2 linked regions of the Rattus norvegicus genome follow. The protein of the gene in region 1 interacts with the protein of each later gene in a pairwise test. Links are inferred from orthologs where the notes say so. Each region holds a gene or a part of one and is shown in the gene's direction. Other genes may lie near its edges.

The links.
Region 2: the proteins of Pih1d2 (region 1) and Eif4a2 interact in binary tests that used the Homo sapiens proteins (3 or more experiments, as listed by UniProt). The two-hybrid records come from large-scale screens. The link is inferred for Rattus norvegicus from reciprocal best matches to the Homo sapiens genes PIH1D2 and EIF4A2.

What each region holds. Positions count from the first base shown.
Region 1 is NC_086026.1:59,863,458-59,873,149, forward strand, and holds the end of Pih1d2 (PIH1 domain-containing protein 2), read left to right. Parts: 5' UTR 1-48; exon of another isoform or gene 49-73; intron 74-665; 5' UTR 666-759; intron 760-969; 5' UTR 970-996; coding exon 997-1,173; exon of another isoform or gene 1,174-2,071; coding exon of another isoform or gene 2,072-2,075; intron 2,076-2,349; coding exon 2,350-2,473; intron 2,474-3,708; coding exon 3,709-3,954; intron 3,955-4,534; coding exon 4,535-4,800; intron 4,801-7,870; coding exon 7,871-8,005; downstream 8,006-9,692.
Region 2 is NC_086029.1:91,268,346-91,278,740, reverse strand, and holds Eif4a2 (eukaryotic initiation factor 4A-II), read left to right. Parts: upstream 1-3,417; 5' UTR 3,418-3,438; coding exon 3,439-3,467; intron 3,468-4,227; coding exon of another isoform or gene 4,228-4,230; coding exon 4,231-4,276; intron 4,277-4,355; exon of another isoform or gene 4,356-4,357; coding exon 4,358-4,490; intron 4,491-4,593; exon of another isoform or gene 4,594-4,662; intron 4,663-4,759; coding exon 4,760-4,899; intron 4,900-5,610; coding exon 5,611-5,779; intron 5,780-5,865; coding exon 5,866-5,975; intron 5,976-6,010; exon of another isoform or gene 6,011-6,135; intron 6,136-6,205; coding exon 6,206-6,349; intron 6,350-6,380; exon of another isoform or gene 6,381-6,558; intron 6,559-7,176; coding exon 7,177-7,314; intron 7,315-7,354; exon of another isoform or gene 7,355-7,483; intron 7,484-7,551; coding exon 7,552-7,641; intron 7,642-7,672; exon of another isoform or gene 7,673-7,812; intron 7,813-7,865; coding exon 7,866-7,945; intron 7,946-8,414; coding exon of another isoform or gene 8,415-8,424; exon of another isoform or gene 8,425-9,231; coding exon 9,232-9,376; 3' UTR 9,377-10,011; downstream 10,012-10,395. Other genes in the region: Rfc4 (replication factor C subunit 4), read right to left, coding at 10,066-10,161, 10,238-10,354. UniProt on the Homo sapiens protein: ATP-dependent RNA helicase which is a subunit of the eIF4F complex involved in cap recognition and is required for mRNA binding to ribosome.

The sequences.
Region 1 (9,692 bases):
TTACCATGGTAACTAGAGTCACAGTTTGTCTCCAAACTGAGAGAAGAGGTGCGTTCCCCCACGTTTGGATTAAGTGTGTATTCGTTGTTTATTTAATCTGACTTTACTATATAATTTGAAGACTCTAAATCTCTTTTTAAATTTTGGGCGACATTTCTCTCTTACGGGAGGAGGGTAATGGCGGGATCTTTGACTATTACTTTGAGGTAGTATTTATCAGGTGTTCCAGCTTAAGTATTAGTGTTCTTAATCCTCATCTTTGTTTTGAGAATAGGTGTGGGGTTGGGGATTTAGCTCAGCGGTAGAGCGCTTGCCTAGCAAACGCAAGGCCCTGGGTTCGGTCCCAGCTCCGAAAAAATGAGAGAGAGAGAGAGGGGAGAGAGGGGAGAGAGGGGAGAGAGGGGAGAGAGGGGAGGGAGAGAGAGAGAGAGAGAGAGAGAGAGAGAGAGAGAGAGAGAGAGAGAGAGAGAGAGAGAGAGAGAATAGGTGTATATATACACTACTTGCTCAAGGCAATACAGCTGTCTGTAGTTAGGAAGAACTTAAGCATATTGACTGCAATGCGCCTAGTTTTAACTACTGTACTGCCACTATGTATTTCTCCCCCTTCCCGTCTCTCTGTCCCGTCCCCCCCCCCCCCCAACCCCTCTCTCCTACACTTTCAGGTCTGGAAGGCACCAAGTCAGCCAATATTCCAGCTATTGGAACAACAGTCCTTTCTGTTTCCTCTGTATTTGTGAGGACCAGACAGAAGTACAGGTACAACGTGGGTATTTAGGAAGCGGCTCAGCTCACAGACTGTAGAAAAGCCAAGATTAAGCAGTACGTGTACACTGTTTTAGACATAGGAAGCAAGACCAGTTAAGAGCCTCCCCCAGAACAACTGCAAAAACCTTCCTTCTTCCCTGAAAGAGGAAATAAGGCCATAGCTACCCTACATGCCTTTCTCAAGTCCTGTCTCTCTAACAGGTTCCAAAGGCCTGAGTCATCACCATCATGAAGGCTTCCTCAAAGGGTCTTCTCACCCACATCTCCCAGTTCTGGAGCATGCTCGATGATTTGGCAGAAAATGATCCCGAGCGCTACCGGAACTTCATTCAGCAGGAGCTGAAAGATGGCAAACAGCTCTGTGCCGACCCAGAACCTCAACTCTGTCTACAGACAAAGATCCTAGTATGTGGAGCTACTGCAAGGGAGGAGAGGTCTTCAATAAAACTACTCCGGCTTAACCAGAGGATACAGTAGCCTTTTCTAGCGCTACTTTAACACGAGAGAAGTTTATTAAAACTCTCTCTGAGCAGAAAATGAAACCACATGGAAGATTTCATTGAAGGAGTAAAAATGAGAAATTCATACTTGGTATTTTAGAAATCCCAAATGCAGTTTTATTGCCCTGATAGGTGGAAAAGCAGTGCTATAACGAGTTAAGTTTTTTAAGAAAATATTTGTATTACATTTTATGGGTTGGGGTGGGGGTCAAGAGATTGCATGTGCTGCCTAGGAAGCACAAGGCCCTAGGTTTGGTCCCCAGCTCCGAAAAAAAAAAAAAAAAGAGATTGCATGTGCAAGAAAAGAGGACCACTCTGGGGAGTAGGCTTTCCATGAGGTGAGGAGAGAATTCAGATCATCAGCCTGGAACCAGGGGCTCTTAATCCCATCAAACTGGCCTGGATGCAATGAATGTTTGTTTGTCTCTTTATGTAGACATAGGCTGTCCAGTGCTATGTAGACCAGGCTGGCCAGAACCTCCTGCCTCTGCATCCTGAGTGCTGGGATTAAAGACTTCCTGGTTGTGATTTAATAAGACTCAGGAGCTGGGGACTTTTTTAAACAAAGAACTTACTATTATTAGTTAAATAATGAAGCAGTGACAGGAGGTCCAAAACACATACAGCAGTTGTTTACTTCATCTCCTCTTCCTCTCCTCTGAGAGAGAACAGCAGTTGGACTTAGGATGAAGAGCCAGAAGCTTTGGGAAAATCAAGTAACAAACAAACAAAATGTCTCAGCAGTAGAATGCTTGCCTAGCGTGTGAGGCTCTAAGTTGGATTTGATTCCTGGCATAGAGGAAATGAGTAAGTGAATGAATGAATGAATGAATGAATGAATGAACCAAAACACAGAAAGAACTTCAAATACTTTGCTTGGAACAACTGTGCTTTGTAGGATGTCAGGCACAGTTTTAATATAATCACTGAGTGGATGACTAGAACTCCCTTGGTGGGAGATCTAGCTGAGCGTCAGAGCACTTCCTTTGCATGTAGGAAGGCCTGAAAAAAAGCGATGACTTGCTTTCAGGATATTGTCATCAAATCTCATTTGGCAATATCAAAATTATTCACTTTCTAGAAACCAAAAGAAAAAGTACTTTTTATCAACCTATGTCAGTGGGAAAGGATCCCCGCACCACAATCAGCCACTCATCCTGTACCTATAAGTGTTGGCAGACCAGAAGATTTCCCTGAGACATCAGGTATAAAGAATTAAAGAAAGCATGTGTGGGTTTTTGTTGTTGTTTTTTCCAGACAGGGTTTCTCTGTGTAGCTCTGACTAGAACTCACTCAGTAGATAGGCTGGCCTTGAACTCAGAGATCTGCCTACCTCTGCCTCCAGAGTCCTGAAATTAAATGTGTTGTGGCACCATTGAACAGCTATATGTGAATTTTTTTTTTTTTTTGGTTCTTTTTTTCGGAGCTGGGGATTGAACCCAGGGCCTTGCGCTTCCTAGGCAAGCGCTCTACCACTGAGCTAAATCCCCAACCCCGTGAATTTTTTATTGAACATATTCAAAGACCAGAATTTACTTGGTAGGGATATTCTAATTAAATTATTTCATTTGGTGACTATTAATTGTTAATAAATAATTGAAATAGTCAATAATATTATTTTAAATGTTAGTGTAATGATTTATGAAATAATATTAATAATTACCAACAAATGGGTGTGCTTTATGCACGTTTAATATGATTTCTAATAGTCTGATCTGCTTTTGACTCAAATAGAAATGGCAGCATAGACTTGGAATTTTGTGTATATGTTAGAACAGACACCTGCATCTTTAGGCCAGATCATACAGCTTGAATCAGACCAGGCCTCCCTGCTGAGACAGAGTTAAACTCAACCTGTGCTGTGACCTCACAGTCTTTAATTCATGGTCACCTGTCTCTTCCATGACCTAATGTGCACTATACGGAAGTAAGTTATGTGACATGGAAATTACTATCACTCCTAAAAGGTTGTTAAAAAGTCAGCTTTTTGTGTTGTTCGTCGGGTTGTTCTTCAGGAAGATTTTGGTCATGCAAATGCTCTGATGCTGCCCTCTGCAGGACCCTGTCCTCCCTGCATATCTCCCATCTCCAATCTCCTGCAGCTAGCTTTCTCTCCACATTACCTCTCATTCTCAACCTGTGAAGCTCCTCTCCAGGATATAAAGGGAAGCCATAGTTCCCTTTAAGGTCCCATCATGTTTAGATCTCCATATATTGCATTGTTGTTGTCTAAGGCTTTGTCTTACTTCAAAGCCCTTTCTCCTAATAACCTTTGTGTCGGCTTCCTTTCTGACGAGCCAGTGCTGGCTTACCATAGTGCTTCTGTGATTGCTCTAAGAACACAGGGATGGAACCTGTGCTTTGCAATGTTGCTAACGTGGGTTAGAAGACTGCCGGACAAAATCCTTATAGAATCAAGTTGTCTCTGAATTACACACAGATGCTTGTACCATCATTGATGTTGCCTACAATCCTGGTGTTCTGCAAGCGGCAGAAAAAGACCAAGGAATCAAAGATCAGCTAATTAGGATGGCCATGCGGTGCATCGAGGAGCGACTCCAGCTCACACTTGCACATTCATACCATGTTACTCATTTTAGAGTGAAAGGAAGCATTCAGAGAATGAAAGAAAGGCTGATGGGCATTAAAACTCACTTCCCAAACTTCAAAGAGATGATGAGAAAAGGTAAGTTGATGGATGTAAGCTAAAAATGATTACAGATTCTGGGTTTGTAGCATGCGCATAGTTTTCAAGCCACACGTCTCTAAAAATAATGAGAAGCTGGACTGGAGAGATGGCCCAGTGGTTAAGAGCACTGACTGCTCTTCCAGAGGTCCTGGGTTCAAATCCCAGCAACCACATGGTGGCTCACAACCATCTGTAATGAGATCTGAGGCCCTCTTCTGGTGTGTCTGAAGACAGCTACAGTGTACTTACATTATAAAAAATAAATCTAAAAAATAGAATGAGAAGCTTGGAAGAATATACATTATCCAGAAAGATGTCAAAACCTTGCAGGATTCCCAAGCAAACTCTTTGGCTTGAGGTTCTGGGTATCTCTCTGTGTTTAGTTGAACCAGAATCAAATCCAGCCCCAAACTTCAGATCCAGGCAGGTTATCACTGAGCAGCGTGGCCAGCTTTAGAGCTAACCTTTCCAAATAATGTAACTGCGGCCTCATCAACTGTCTGTGTGAACATTACATATCCTAAAGCTCACAGCCTGATATTTGCATCTCCTTCCCCTCCCCCTTTTCTCCTCAAAGACAACACTCTTGAAAGGATCAGAAGCAGTACTGTGAGTGAACCCAGTCACCTTCCTGAGGTGCTATTGACAAAGAAACAAGTGTCGGCCAAAGGGAGATGTCTTATAGAAGAGATTGCTAGTTCAGAAGTCCAGGTGGAGGCTAAGACACCTGCCTACGAATTAAAGGTTGTAAAGGATCAGAACGAGAAGCCGCTGAAAATTGAGCTGAAAGTCGAGTTACCTGGGATTAAGGCAGTCTCTCTCTGTGAGCTTAGTGTTTCTGAGGTAAGTTAAACAAACACTGTAGTACTCCTGAGGAGGCAGCTCTAGGGGGTTGTTTTCAGGAACTCCTGCAGATGAGAAAAATCCACTGATGACCAGTTTTTTTATTGTTTGCAAGTAACACTTGCACTTGCATGTCCATGAGGTTTTTCTACCATTGAATAACATGTAAGTGCTGTGTAAATTCAGTGTGCATCAACTACGCTTCACCAGAACAGGGACTTAAGATAACTTTAAAGAGGAAGGGTTCGTTAGGGCTCATGATTTCAGAGGTTCCAACCTTGTTCAGACAACTATCTTCACACCTGTGTTGAAGTGTCAAGCACATTGTGACACAAATACATGACAAAGCAAAACCACTTTTCACTTAGGGACAGTACGGAAATGGCCATCATCCCACAATCCACTTTCCAGAAATATACCCAATGATCCAAAGACTTGGCACTAAGTTCCACCCCCTAAAGGTTCCAGCATCTCCAAATAGCATTTCTATGGTGGGAAAAACCACTTGGAGATTTGGAGAACAGTTAAGATCCAACTATACTGAGGCATGGTGGAGCACATCTTTAATCCAGAATTTAGGAGTCAGAGGCAGGCAGATCTCTGTGCTCTTGAGGCCAGCCTGATCTATTTAGTGATTTCCAGAACAGCCAGGGCTATGGAGAGAAAGATCCTGTTTCAAACAAAGACACAAACAAACAAAGACATCCAACCTATACCAAGCTGTTTTGACTGTATCAATTACAAAATAAGAAAATACTCTGCTACATGATTAGTGGAGATGAAGTCACTGTACGCCTAACTGTGTTCCAATACAAGGTAGGCTGCATCCACAGATTTAGAACCAGTACTGTGGAGGGCCAATTATACAGCAAACTTGTACCTATATTATGCTGCAGTAAAGTCAAAGGCTTATAGTAATTTGCTTAGGCTGCATATTACGTAGGCCTTCTCTGCCTCATTAGCTCTGTACATTCAGAAACCTCAGATGTGCCATTCTTTTTTTTTTAAAAAAAGATTTATGTGAGTACACTGTAGCTGTCTTCAGACACACTAGAAGTGGGCATCAGATCACATTACAGATGGCTGTGAGCCACCATGTGGTTGCTGGGATTTGAACTCAGGACCTCTGGAAGAGCAGTCAGTGCTCCTAACCGCTGAGCCATCTCTCCAGCCCCTGACATGCCAGTCTTACGGTAAAGGGAAACAGAAATTGCTGCTCCACGTAGTAGACCTAAAACTCCTATGAACATATAGCATATATCTCTTCTAATTTTATCCCACTGGCCCAAGTACATCAAAACATCAGTAGGACTGGGACTCTCAGGAAGTGATACATACATGGCATAGATGTATAGACAGAATTCTCTTACCTTACAGAAGAGGAGCAGATAATTGGGACATGGTACAGTCTACCCTCAGACTGAGACATTTCCTTCATTCTTCAAGGACAACTCTAATCCTAGCCTCAGATTCCAAAGAACAGGGTCTTTATCACCACAGTCTGTGTTCTCCTTTTTTTAAAAAAAATATCTTTTTTTTTTCTTCTTTTTTCTTTTCTTTTTTTTTTTTTTTCAGAGCTGGGGACCAAACCCAGGGCCTTAGCGCTCTACCACTGAGCTAAATCCCCAACCCCTTAATTTATTTTTATGTTTTACCTGTGTGTGTGTGTGTGTGTGTGTGTGTGTGTGTGTGTGTGTGTGTGTACATTAGATCCCTTGGAACTGGAGTTACAAAGAGTTGCGAGCTGCCATGTGGGTGCTGGCTGGGACTTTGAGAGAGCAACCAGTGCTCTTAACCACAGAACTACCTCTCCAGCCCGCTGTGTTCTCCTTTTAAACCAGACCGATGATATATCAAAACAAGTGATCTGCTGTGAACCCATCCACCATAGAGGGAGAGAGCAACTATAAAAAAAGTCTCACTTCAGAAATGATCCAAAGGTCTAGTTCCTGGGGAGCAGCAATCCTGAAATTGTAGCAACCAAAACCTGTGAATGGCCCACATGAAGATGGGTGGGAGTGCTCTTTGGGTCCCGGTAGAGGGCCCCTTTAGCTACCCATTGTCAGGCCGATTTCAGTTCCATGTGGGGAAGGTTTTTCCTGTTTCAGCATCCACGTTGGCCACACATACAAAAGGGATATCATAGACTGTGTCGGCACTGGATTTTCTGTGGGTTCCCTGCTGATGGAATGTTGAGGGCTGTACAATTTGAAGGCAGTTCCTTTTCCTTTTAGCCCATTGTGCCTGTATGATTGTAGTCACTACTCTACCCACAATTCTTTGCCCAGACTAGCTGCTCCAAACTTTTATCTTTAAACTTATTTTTTAGGTTTAATACATAAAATGACTCGTTTTCATGAAGGCACTTTCATGTCATTAAACTGAATTGCTGCCATCTTAACCAAATGTAAGGATTGGCTGACCTCTCCCTCTGCCTGTCCACGCACGGGCTTTTCAACAAGTGCTGCTTAACCTTTGTCTTAGCCACTGTAGCTAATAGCAATTTCTTATTTTATCCTTGCTGAATTGACTCCATTTTTCAGCTGTTAAGTCTTAGCATTTGGAGGCTGCATATAAACTGGTTAGTGTCTATTCTCCCTCTCTGTGATGCCTTATGAAATGTTCCCAATAAGAATTGACCTTATATCCCCAGTTCTTCTAAAGGCATAAGATAGCTGATTATGTGCATTTGAAATTCTCAGGCGAGCGAGGTTCATTGAGGGCGTTACTATGAAACATGGGTCCTTTCTTCCAGGCTCCAGTACATTTCCTTGCCATCTGACAGTAAATCCGGAAGACAGCCAGTGTTCAGATGCAACACTCTACTTCTGCTACTGTTACAATTAACTCCCTGGCCCAACCTCTCAGACAGGGTTTCTCTATGTAACAGAGCCTGGAGTGCACCACCATACAACGTTAACAAAATGTTGTGTTAGTGAGCAAAATCTCAAGAGTCCACAATTCCAAGTCTCGTGGCACCGACGAGGTTTCCATACAAGTGACTGCACTGATCTACTAGCGGGTTACGATGGTCTGGTATCGTGATTTTAAATCTATTTTTTATTTTTAGGTTGATTTATTGATTGAGGTCTCTGAGATGTACCGATTATGCCTGAATCTTCCAGAATCGATTAATACAGAAATGACTACAGCAAAATTCATAAAAAATAAATCCATATTAATCATTACAATGCCCCTGGCATAAAAACAGTTTATTTGGTGTTTTCATTGTTACAGCTTTTATGAGTTACAGGACATACATTGTGAGCAGGGGTAGTGGTTTTCTGTTTGTTATTGTTTAAGGATCTCACTATATAGCCTGGAACTTGCTGTTTAGATCAGGCTAGCATCAAACTTATAGAAATAAGCCTGCCTCTGCCTCGTGGGTTTAAATGATTATACCACCACACCCAGAAATATATATATTTTTATCTCTGATAAAGGGTCCCAGGTAGCCCTAGGTCAGATGACCTAAACTTGCTACTTGGGTGGGACTGATCTTGAGTCCTGATCTTTCCGTCTACAATCTCCAAGTTGTAAGATTGCCGTGATGTGTCTGTCCACTTTCCAGTTTTCTCAAACTTTGTGGCGTAGAGAGATGGTTAAAAGTGCAGACTGCTCTTGTAGAGGAGAGGGCCTGGGTTTGGATCTCAGCTCCCTGTAAGTCCAGCTGCAGGGATCTGAGGTGCTCTTGTGGTACCAGCACTTATTTGCATACCCCCTCCATATACACAAACATATACATACAACTTAAAATAGAAAATAAAAATCTTGAAAGAGGTCCATAATTTTGCATCAACCAGAAATTTTTAAGACACTATAAGCACAAGATTCCATTTTTAAAGATGTTTATAACTATCTCAAGTAAGTCAAAAAGTCATTTGGGAAAATTTCAATTGTTTGCAAGTGTCTTAAGGGTTTCTATCCCTGTGCTAAAACAAAAAGACCAGAAGCAACCTAAGGAGAAAGGGTTTATTTCAGCTTACAGTTCCACCACACCATCAAAGTAAGTCAGGGCAGAAACTCATGCAGGGCAGGAACCTGGAGGCAGGAACTGATGCAGAAGCCATGGAGTACTGATTAGTGGCTTGCCGCCCAAGGCTTACTCAGCTTGTCTTTTTGTTCTTGTTATCTTTTTATTTTATGTATACCAAAACTCTATTTGCATGTACACCTATAGGTCAGAAGAGGGCATCAGCCCACATTACCATGTTGTTGCTAGGAATTGAACTCAGGACCTCTGGAAGTGCAGCAGCCAGGGCAATTAACTGCTGAGCCATCTCTCCAGCCCCAGCCTGTTTTCTTATGCACCCCATAACTACTTGCTCAGGGATGGTATTGCCTACAACAGAATGGGCCCTCACACACCAACCACTAACTAAGAAAATGTACCAGACTTGCCTGCCTGCAGGTGTCCACCCTGGGGTAGCCAAGCTTGTTGAGCATGCTGAGCTGGGCTGCAGAGAGAGAAGCTTAACCTGGTGGGTGGGTGCCAGCAGGGTCTTAGTCTGTGGTGAGTGTGCAGGTGTGTGTGTGTATGGGGAGCGAGAACTTGTGGCTTTTAAGGTCAAACAAGGAATGAAGCATGATAAGTGTCAGGGTAATACACTCTTAATAGGGTTGACGGTGGGGCAGCGGGCTTTACGGTGCCAGGCTGGGCTGTTCTCATCTGAGGTAACCTAGATTGAAGTCTCTTTCACCCTTCTTCCTCTGTAATCCTGGGCAATTACAGTCCCACACTTAGAACACTTGCAAAGCCTTCACTAACAGCCATGTTTCCTAGAAAATACAAGACTGGAGAGATGGCTTGGGGGATGGGGGTGAGGGAGTTAGAGCACTGGCTGCTCTTCCAGAGGATCTGGGCCGAGTTCCCAGCACCCACATGACTGCTG
Region 2 (10,395 bases), on another chromosome or scaffold:
ACAGGCAGGCTGTGAACTTATTAAACAATAAACTTTCAGGAGCAGTAAATAGGTCTTAAAATAATACATAAGCAAAATTTTGTGGATCAATTGATTACAAAGCTGCCATTTCCTTTTTGTTGTTTTAACCTTATTTTATTTTATGTGTACGGGTGTTCGACAGTGGCTGGTCTGGAACTTGCTATTTTAGACCAGGCTGGCTTCCAACCTACCTGCCTCTGTCTGCTGACATGTGCTATGCAGGGCTCTATTTAATTTTGTTTGTTTGGTTGGTTGGTTGGTTTTTAAACAGTATTTATGTAGCTCAGGGGGACTCTAGCCCAGGTACACCTTGAACTTGTGATTCTCCTGGCACACCTCCTCAGTAGGTGAAATCACAGGCCTGTAGCCTGTGATTATACATACACACACACATATATATATATATATATATATATATATAATTTGTAGTATAACTACAAATATACTACAAATATACTACAAATATATACTATATATGATATATATAATAAATTATATATATATATATCATTTGTAGTATAGCTGGTCTCACACATTCCAAGATTGTTAAGGAGCATTTATATTTATTTACCTATTCACTTATTTTTGAGACAGGGTTTCTTTATGTAGCCCTGGAAGTTCTGGAATTTGCTCTGTAGGCCAGACTGGCCTGAGATCCTGCTGCCTCTCTGCCTCCACCTCTGTCACACAAGTGCTGGAGTTAAAGGCTTGCACCACCACTGCCTGGCCACTAAGGAGTATTTATAGCTAACTTTGAGAAGGCTGCTTTCAGATGATAGCTAAGTATCCTTAAACTGAAGCGTAAACTCCGTCTCTACAGGTTTACAAAACCTTAGAACGTATGCTTTATTTTCAGCTCTCCTGTTACTTGATGCTATTCGTGCGGTGAGAACAGAATAAGCTTCGCATTTATTGGAAACACATTATAGGACGACAGACACTGGGGTTTATCTTTTTAATTCATTATTATTGTCTTTTTTTCGAGACTGGGTTTCACTATGTACCTCTCTGACTGTTCACTATGTAGACCAGGCTGGCTCTGAAACTCAGAGATCCATTTACCTCCATGAGCGCTGGGATTAAAGATATGTGTGCCCATACTCAGATTATACTTTTAAAATATAAAATGCCTTCCACAGTGGAAGTCTAAATATTTCCTCTTAAGGGACTTACAAAAATCCTCAGGGCAATGTAATGACAGTACTACTAACCCTAAAGAAAACGTCCAATGGGCAAGTATGTGGACCTGCTTCTCTCTCAGTGAAACATCAGTTACTTTGTTAAGTTTCTTAGACCAGGTGGTTATTATTTACTTCTAATTTTATAGCAACTTTGAATGAGACTCTATGCTGATGGCCTCGTCCCTTGAGGCAAGGTCTCATTATATATAGCCCTTGCAGGGATCCACAAGACTCTGTGTTGGGAGCAATGGCCTTGAAACCCTCCATTATCGATGTTAATATTATGGTTAGAGTTTAGTATGACTGGGTTCATGGAAAATCCCCAGCCAGCTGCAGAAGACTAATATAAATCTGGTGGTCAAGATGAGTAATGATATAACATGAAAGTTGTGACCTTGCTGAGAAATACATCTGATGTCAGGATGCCCAATATGACAAACCTGTAACCTTTCTGAAAAACCAACATCCTGTTGACATCAGCTGACCACACAAATACGGCGTCCTTGGCCTGCGTAAATGTTTCCTACTCCCCCCCCCCCCCCGTTACCCCTGTTATGGTATAAATTCAGCCTTGGGAAAAAATAAAATTGTCGCCTTGATCAGACTCTTGTCTTGGCGTCCTTCTTTGTGTCTCTTGTCCCCCATTCTCTTCCAGGTACCCTCTGCGCCCTCACTGACACTCTGCTTCCTGAGTGCTGGGGGTTAAAAGTCCGTGTCACCATACCTGGTCTCTATTTTGTCATCATTTTGTGACAGTTTCTGACAGAGTAACTTCCTAATAAGTAAAGGTTTTATTTTTGAATAAGGAAGGTATCTGAGGTGGGCGAGATGACTCAGAGCTGGCCTTAGGGCATGCTGACCTGAATTCCATCCCCAGGACCTACTTGTGGGATCCACATGGTTGGAGAAGAATGGACTAAGGGTTGTTCACTGACTTCCACAAATGCTGAGGTGCATACTCAAGAAATAAATAAACACAAAGTAATCGTTTAGAGCCAAATACTTTTGGTAAAGTAGCAAATTGAGCCTTTTCCTCCTCCGGTAGATCAGCCTTTGGTCTTGGTCTTCTGAATTAATGAGAAAAAAAATTTGAGTTTTCACGATGCTTTTGTAATATGCTTTAAAATTCAATGATTAAATATCTTCTAATATTTTTAGCGAAGGCCAGATTTGTGGTTGACTGGAAACCTCTAGGCTTACGCAGCTATGCAAGTTTATTATGGGCAATACGAGCTGTATCGTCTCAATTTCAGTAAGGCAACATTAGACGATTAAAATAGGTTTTTTTTTGTTTGTTTGTTTGTTTTACCAAAAGAGACAAACAGCTTTTGAAGTGCTGGGGCTGAGCCTGCCAGGAGCACGCATTAACGTTTTTGTGTTACAAAGAATGACAGGTCCTTTGCAAAAGTTGGTAGTGATTCTATCAATCATTTCTCACACCTGTTAGGTTGAAACTGTTAGCATTACTTTTTAAACCAGACCTGAAGACGACCGACCAGAAAGACATGAAATTCGAATCACCACCCTAGGGACATCTGTTAATGATACTCCAAGTTGTGCTCCTCGTCTTAAAAAAAATATAACAGCAAACTGGATTTCCTAGGATATGCTGGGTGGCCGACATTTTCCGTGGCAGGGGTTTCACACGTTCCAGATCTGAACGGATATTAAATGGCTGGGCGAAATGCCAGGTGGCCCTTTACTGTCACATTAAACAGCAGTGAGAACGGGCGGGGTAACCCGATTCCGTTCCGGCGCGGAACGCGGCGGCCCGGCCCAGGGCCACGCTGACGCGCAGGTAGCCCGGAGCTGCGTCCTGGAGACGCCGCCCGCCAGCGAACAGCGCCACCGGCTTCCGCCCTAGGCGCCCCCGGCTCCGCCGGCCTCTGCGGCAGGGCCGCGGAAACCCCGTAGGAGCAGGGCGGCCGAGGAGCGCGGCGCGCGGTCGCGCTGCTGCAATATTCTTCCGCCGAAATCAAAGAGTCCCAGGCCCCCTCCTGATTCATGGATCTCCAGGAACGCTGTAATACCAAGTAATAGTGAAATGTGGATTTTGTCATCGACTCCTTTAGGGCTTCACCTCCGGTAACAAACTCCAGGAGTACAATTTTGTGGCTTCCGAAGAGGGAATAAGAAAATTCCTCCGCGAGAAACGGGTTCCGGCCGCGAGCCTATAAAAAACGGGCGGCGCCGTCCCGCTGTCTTTTCAGTCGGGCGCTGAGTGGGTTTTCGGATCATGTCTGGTGGCTCCGCGGATTACAACAGGTACGGCGCTCCTGGGGCGGCCGGTGGCCTGTAGTGAAGGTCACTAGCACCCGCGGTTGAGGTGGGTGGCTAGCGGCCACACTGCAGGTATGCGGGCTTTTTCTTAGGGCACACACAGTCTCCTTGTGTCCTTCGAGAAGCTTCCATGATGGTAGGACTCCAGATGTTGGGGAGACAGGACGGATAGGAGAAGGGAGTATTAAGGATGCCCTTCCTTAGGACACATTGTGACATCTTGGCCGCTGCCCCTCCCCATGTGGGACATGGCAAGCAGAGCCGTGGCGCAGTCTGCTTAGGGCAGGATAACCGGGTCCCGAAGGTTTATTTGCCGCCAGCGGCGCGAGCTGGGGTTCTTAGTGTTCTGTCGAGGTGGGAGACCGGACAGCCAGAGGACGATCACCCTGGACCGTAAACGGGGCGACGAGCCGTTGGCATGGTCCTGCCAGGGCCTCTCGGCGTCAATCACGCCGGCTTGCGCAGAGTTAGGGGCGGAGCTCGGCGCGCGGAGCGCTCGCGAGAGCTTCCCTTCCCAAACGGGAGGCCCGGGTCCTAGGGCACTAAGTAGAGGGGCCTCTACACGGAGGACTCCAAATCCTCAGCTATTGGGAAGAACGAATGGTGTCTACCTGCAATGCCACTGTTCTTGAGGCATTTTCAGTAGAGCACACGTGCGCGGAGGGTAATGAGGCACGGGGTGGAAGGGCCTTTTTAAGGGCTTGTGGCTTGGAAGAAGTATGTCTAACTGCAGTGTTCTTGTCAGCAGAGAACATGGCGGCCCAGAGGGAATGGACCCCGATGGTGTCATCGAGGTAAGGAATGGGTGTGGACGTTAAAGGGTTGGGAGGTACATTTTTTTCCGTCTTACTCATAGTTTTATTATTAACTTACAGAGCAACTGGAATGAAATTGTTGATAACTTTGATGATATGAATTTAAAGGAGTCCCTTCTTCGAGGCATCTATGCTTATGGTTTTGAGAAGCCTTCAGCTATTCAGCAGAGAGCTATAATCCCATGTATTAAAGGTAAAACTCCACTGACATTTAGGATAAGTGTTCTGCACCCACGTGGACCGTAAAAGGGAAAGTGACCTTTTGGGGAAGTACTAGCACCTGTTTGTATTCCTTAAAGTGAAATGATGGCAATCATCTTTCGGGACTGACCTGAAATGAAGAGAAAACTCTCTGCTGATCACTTATATGGGCATAATTTATGTTCCAACTGGAATACATGGTGTGTAGTAGAAGTAACGATTTGATGTGGGATCGGTAAATATGTATCCTACTTTTTTTAGGATATGATGTGATTGCTCAAGCTCAGTCAGGTACTGGCAAGACAGCCACATTTGCTATTTCCATCCTGCAACAGTTGGAGATTGAGTTCAAGGAGACCCAAGCACTAGTATTGGCCCCCACCAGAGAACTGGCTCAACAGGTATTGATAGTGTAGTTCAAAAACTGCTTGCGTGTTGCATAGGTTTCAGGTTTCACAACTGTGAAGGATTTAAAATTAAGACGTATAAACTGTCCTAGTCCTATGAGAGCCCTCATAATGTCCGTGCATGCAGGGAGTTTGTTGTTAGCGAACAGGAATGGGTATTGTAGGTATGACTTGTAGGGCCTGGTGTAGCTCAGTTAAACCCATAGGTTTCTCAGGGTGGATTAGAAATTTGGAATGCAGTTGTGCAACATGAAAACTGCAGTGACATGTTAACCATTTGACTGTCTCAGTAGTTTGTGATGCATCTGTTGCATGCTATGTTTTCAAAGCGCTGCTATATTGGCTTTGAAGTAAATTCCTGATGAAGCTGCAAGCTTTACTCAGGTGAGGATAAGGCTCAGTGCCTTGTGGGAGAAATACCAGCATTTGCCCTTACAGAGAACATTTCACTACACAGTGGAGAATGTAGACATTTTTTTTTACCTGTGTTCCTAGTTGGTGTTTGAGGCAACAGGGCACCAAGTTTGAAAAGACAAGAAGGGAGCATTAAGTAGTTCAAGAGTGAATTTTAAGCTTGTAATTAATAAGTTTTGTGCTATGCATGCATAAAAGCTGTTGGCATATATATGATAGTACAATTATGCCTTTAAGCTTAGTCCTAGACCTTGGCTTTACAGAATGATAACTAAAATATTTTGCTTTTAGATCCAAAAGGTCATTTTGGCTCTTGGAGATTATATGGGAGCAACTTGTCATGCTTGCATTGGAGGAACAAATGTTCGAAATGAAATGCAGAAGTTGCAGGCTGAAGCCCCTCATATTGTTGTTGGCACTCCTGGGAGAGTATTTGATATGCTAAACAGAAGATACCTTTGTAAGTGACTTTTAAAGGCTCTTTCTTATCTGTCACCAAGAAGGCTGTGAGAACTTTGAGATGAAGTATGACTTTCTTATTAACAGCTCCAAAATGGATCAAAATGTTTGTTTTGGATGAAGCAGATGAAATGTTGAGCCGAGGGTTTAAGGATCAGATCTATGAGATTTTCCAAAAATTAAATACAAGCATTCAGGTAAAGTTCGTTTCTATTCATTTGGGTTTGGTTTCATGCAGGTACAGTTACAATAAAACTGAAGTGTTCTATTGTCGTTCCCCCTGCTTAAAGTATCTGATACATTACTATCTCTGCCTAGCTCTACCATAGTAAGGCAGAGACGCTTGGTTTCAAACATTTTTCCCTATAGTATTTGCTGCAAGCTTATACAAACTAAACAGGTAAAGACAGTCATTTCTTTTTTAAAGGTTGTGTTACTTTCTGCCACAATGCCAACTGATGTCCTAGAAGTGACCAAGAAATTCATGAGAGATCCAATTCGAATTCTGGTGAAGAAGGAAGAATTGACCCTTGAAGGAATTAAACAATTTTATATTAATGTTGAGCGAGAGGTAATTTTCTTTATTAAATGTAAGGGTTTTTACCTTCTTGTATAAGCACTGTGCTAAAATTACAGGAACTAGGATTATATCTTGGTTTTTGTAATAATGCTAGCAGAGTACACACAAGAAGAAGAGTAACTGCACTGGATTCCAAAGACTGGGGTGGACCTCTTTCTTAATGTCCAGTGTCCTTTGTCATAAGATTCGGTGCAATAAGTCTTTAGATCAATTCTCCTTGGAGATCATGACCATTTGGGGGTAGCATCAGGTATTTTACATTGTGGCTCAACAATTAAGTAGCAACAAATTTATGGTGGGGAAATGTATTAGAGGTTTGTAGCATTAGGGTTGAGAACCGCTGTGGGATGATGTCACAGGTGAGGCAGGTACAAGATAGAGTGAGGCCTGTCATTGGATGAGAAGGAAGGATGGGTGGGAGAAAAGTTTGAAGGAAGAGATGGGAACAGAAGAGGAGAGAGTTGGCGGGGGTTTGGGAGCTGACACTAAGCTTCTGTGTGCACCTTTACAGGTTCTTATGACTGTTCTTAAGGGGTGGCTTTGTATATATTTGGGTGGGCAATTATATCTTATAAATTGGACCAAAGGTTATTGTTTGTGTGTTCTTTCATGTAGCAGTTTAAGTGTAAGGGAGTGTGGGGTGGCTGGTCTGGGCTGCCACAGAGTTGGGGTATGTGCTTCTGGCAAGAAATCTAGCAGGATACCTTGGGGACTTGCTGGACTTGAGGGGTTAAGACAGTCATACTTTTATGTATTTTTACATCACAAACCACTGCTTTAGTTTTGTTGAAAATCATGGAAATTTTGTTTGACTTTAGGAGTGGAAGCTGGACACTCTTTGTGACTTGTATGAGACTTTGACTATCACACAAGCAGTTATTTTTCTCAATACAAGGCGCAAGGTGGACTGGCTCACGGAGAAAATGCATGCCAGGGACTTCACAGTTTCTGCTCTGGTAAGAGTTGTTGGATTTAGTAATGCTAATTATAGCCATTAAGCAGGATTTTACTACAATATGGCTGCTCAGTGCTGTGTTGTCGTTCCCCCTGCTCAGAACAATTGTTTCTTAACTATACCTGTCTGCTGTCTACCTGTAGCAGCCAGGGACGCTTGGTCTCATACATGATAGAAAGAAATTAAATGAATGCCTGACCTGAATAGGGATTGCTGAATTGAGTTGTTGTATTTGCAGCATGGTGACATGGACCAGAAGGAAAGAGATGTCATCATGAGGGAATTCCGATCAGGGTCAAGCCGTGTTCTGATCACTACTGACTTGTTGGTGAGTTTGCTGTTTTGTTTTGTTTTCTTAAGTACCAAAAGCTAGATTTGTGGAAAAGGTTTTATTTAATAACCTTAACCAGTTCACGCTATTTGGCAGAATGAGTAAGACCACACTCCACAGTGGACTATACCACTTAGTATGGTTCATTACTATATTGTGGCCTACATTGATTGCAGAGATGTCTAGGTTTTGGATTATATTAAACAACCTCTTTATTTCAGGCTCGTGGGATTGATGTGCAACAAGTGTCCTTGGTTATAAACTATGATCTACCTACCAATCGTGAAAACTATATTCACAGGTGAGAAGAAAGCATCTCCAATATTTGTATTGGAGAAGTAATATTTGTATTGGAGAAGTAAATTCAAACATGTCTACGGTGTTTTGTATACAAGGTACTGACTGGCAAATCAGGGAATAGATTGCAGTAAAAAGGCATAGTAATTTACTAAGGTCTAAAATTGTGTTTGGGAAGATTGGTCAGAACAAAGTGGGAAACTGTGTAATGTGGCCAAGGTTGTGTATTCACATGCAGACTAGGTTGATTTAGATTTCTTTGGTCTTAGCTTATGTTTGAGCCTTATAGTGATTTTTCTTGTGTCCATGTGCTTTTTTTCTTGGTGATTGATTCTATACAGTTGGGATTTTCTTGGTGTTGCTGGTAGCATTTTGAGTGATTCCCTGGTTTAGTTATAGTGGCTTTTTATCCCTAAATAAATTGAATTGTACTTTGTTATATGATGTAAAAAAAGACTTTTTAAAAAATACAGGAGTCGATAGCGGCAGTTGATGACGAGATGGCGCTCAGAAACGGCGTTGACGTAATTTAGGACGTGGAATCATAAGCGAAACAGCACACTGTTTGAATAAAGAGCGAGTCGGTATTTATATTTGATTTTCTTTTGTCATGATTATTTGATATTTTAAGTTGTTCCAGCCCAAGGCATTTTTGTATGTTAGCATTTCTGATAGGGAGCATTAGGTGGTTGTATTGTCTGGTACTTTGTAGGAAGGTAGAGAGCTGTTTTGGAGGTGTAACACGTTTGAGTAATTTGAGTATAACGTGTGAAAAGAAGCTGAGCAAAAAGCAGTGATGAGTTTGGGTTACCATACCAAATACTTGCTTTCACACTGGAAAAAGTAAGTTTTAGAAAATAGTTAACCTTGCAGTATTTGTATTTACAGTTTACAGTTCCAGAAGTGCGTCGAATGGATTGTATAACTGTTTCTTTTATTCCTGGTGTTTACATTTGTCCCAGGCTGACAACTGCTCCTGGCTGGCCCACTTTGGTATGGGCTTTAATTTCACCCCAAACACAATACTGTCATCTGCTTTACTGTAATGCTCAAGGCGCCTATCTCATTTTGCAGCCAGACAGGCCTTGAATTCTTTTGGCACTATCTGCAAAGGAAGATGTTTTCCCACCTGGATATTGGTTTTTATCAGCTAGTGCTGCACTTAAAAGCACGAACCCTAACCCTGATAAGTAACCAGCAGCTGCTGGTTAACAAGTGGATCGTCATATTCAGTAGCTTTGAATGGTACTAAAGCAACTTGCTGACTGCTGCTTTCTTTCTCTTATACAGAATTGGCAGAGGGGGTCGATTTGGGAGGAAAGGTGTGGCTATAAACTTTGTTACTGAAGAAGACAAGAGGATTCTTCGTGACATTGAGACTTTCTACAATACTACAGTGGAGGAAATGCCCATGAATGTGGCTGACCTAATTTAATTCCTGGGATGAGATAGTTTGGAATGCAGTGCTCGCTGTTGCTGAATAGGCGATCACAACGTGCATTGTGCTTCTTTGAGAATATTTGAATCTTGTCTCAATGCTCATAACGGATCACAAATACAGATTCTGATAGCAAAGCGACTTTAGTCCTGAGCTCTTGTGAGGAAAGGCATTGGCTTTATCCTCTTTAGAGTTAGACTGTTGGGGGTGGGTATAAAAGATGGGGTCTGTAAAATCTTTTTTTCTTAGAAATTCATTTACTAGTTATGTAGAAATGGTTGTATTAGATGTTCTCTATCATTTAATAATATACTTGTGGACTAAAAGATATAAGTGCTGTATAAAATCAGCCAATTATGTTAAACTAGCATATCTGCCTTTATTGTGTTTGTCATTAGCCTGACTAGAAAGGCCTTTAAAGTGATCTTTTTTTAGAGAAAATTTGAATGCATTTTGTTTATTGTATTTATTCAATAAAGTATTTAATTAGTGCTAAGTGTGAACTGGACCCTGTTGCTAAGCCTCAGCAAGCAATCATCCTAGGTAGGGTTAACAACCCCCCAGTAAAATTGCCATATTGCACATGTCTTAATGAAGTTTGAATGTTAAATAAAAATTGTATATTCACTTTATATACAGGTGGTTTGGTCCTTTATTTCTATTATTCATACAAAAGAACATCGATCTTAACAGTTCTGGGTCAGTTGCTGCATCACAGTTGCGCAGAGGCTCATCAGCTGCAGGTGCTCATCTGCACCATCTGCTAAACACTTATCCACCTCCTGCAAAGGAAATGGGAAAGATGAAGGCGAGCCCAAAGAGATAGCTTGGTAACTTTTTGAAGTGTAAAATACTTACAGCAAGTTTTTCTGTAATGATGGACTTCTGTTTATCAGACAGATTTTCATCTTCTATGATTGAATCATGAAGTTGGTTGACAAGCTGAGTGGCTGCATGCCCTTCATCTATTAGGTTCTGCAACAGAAAGTATGCGGTCTTAACTCATTAAATGGACC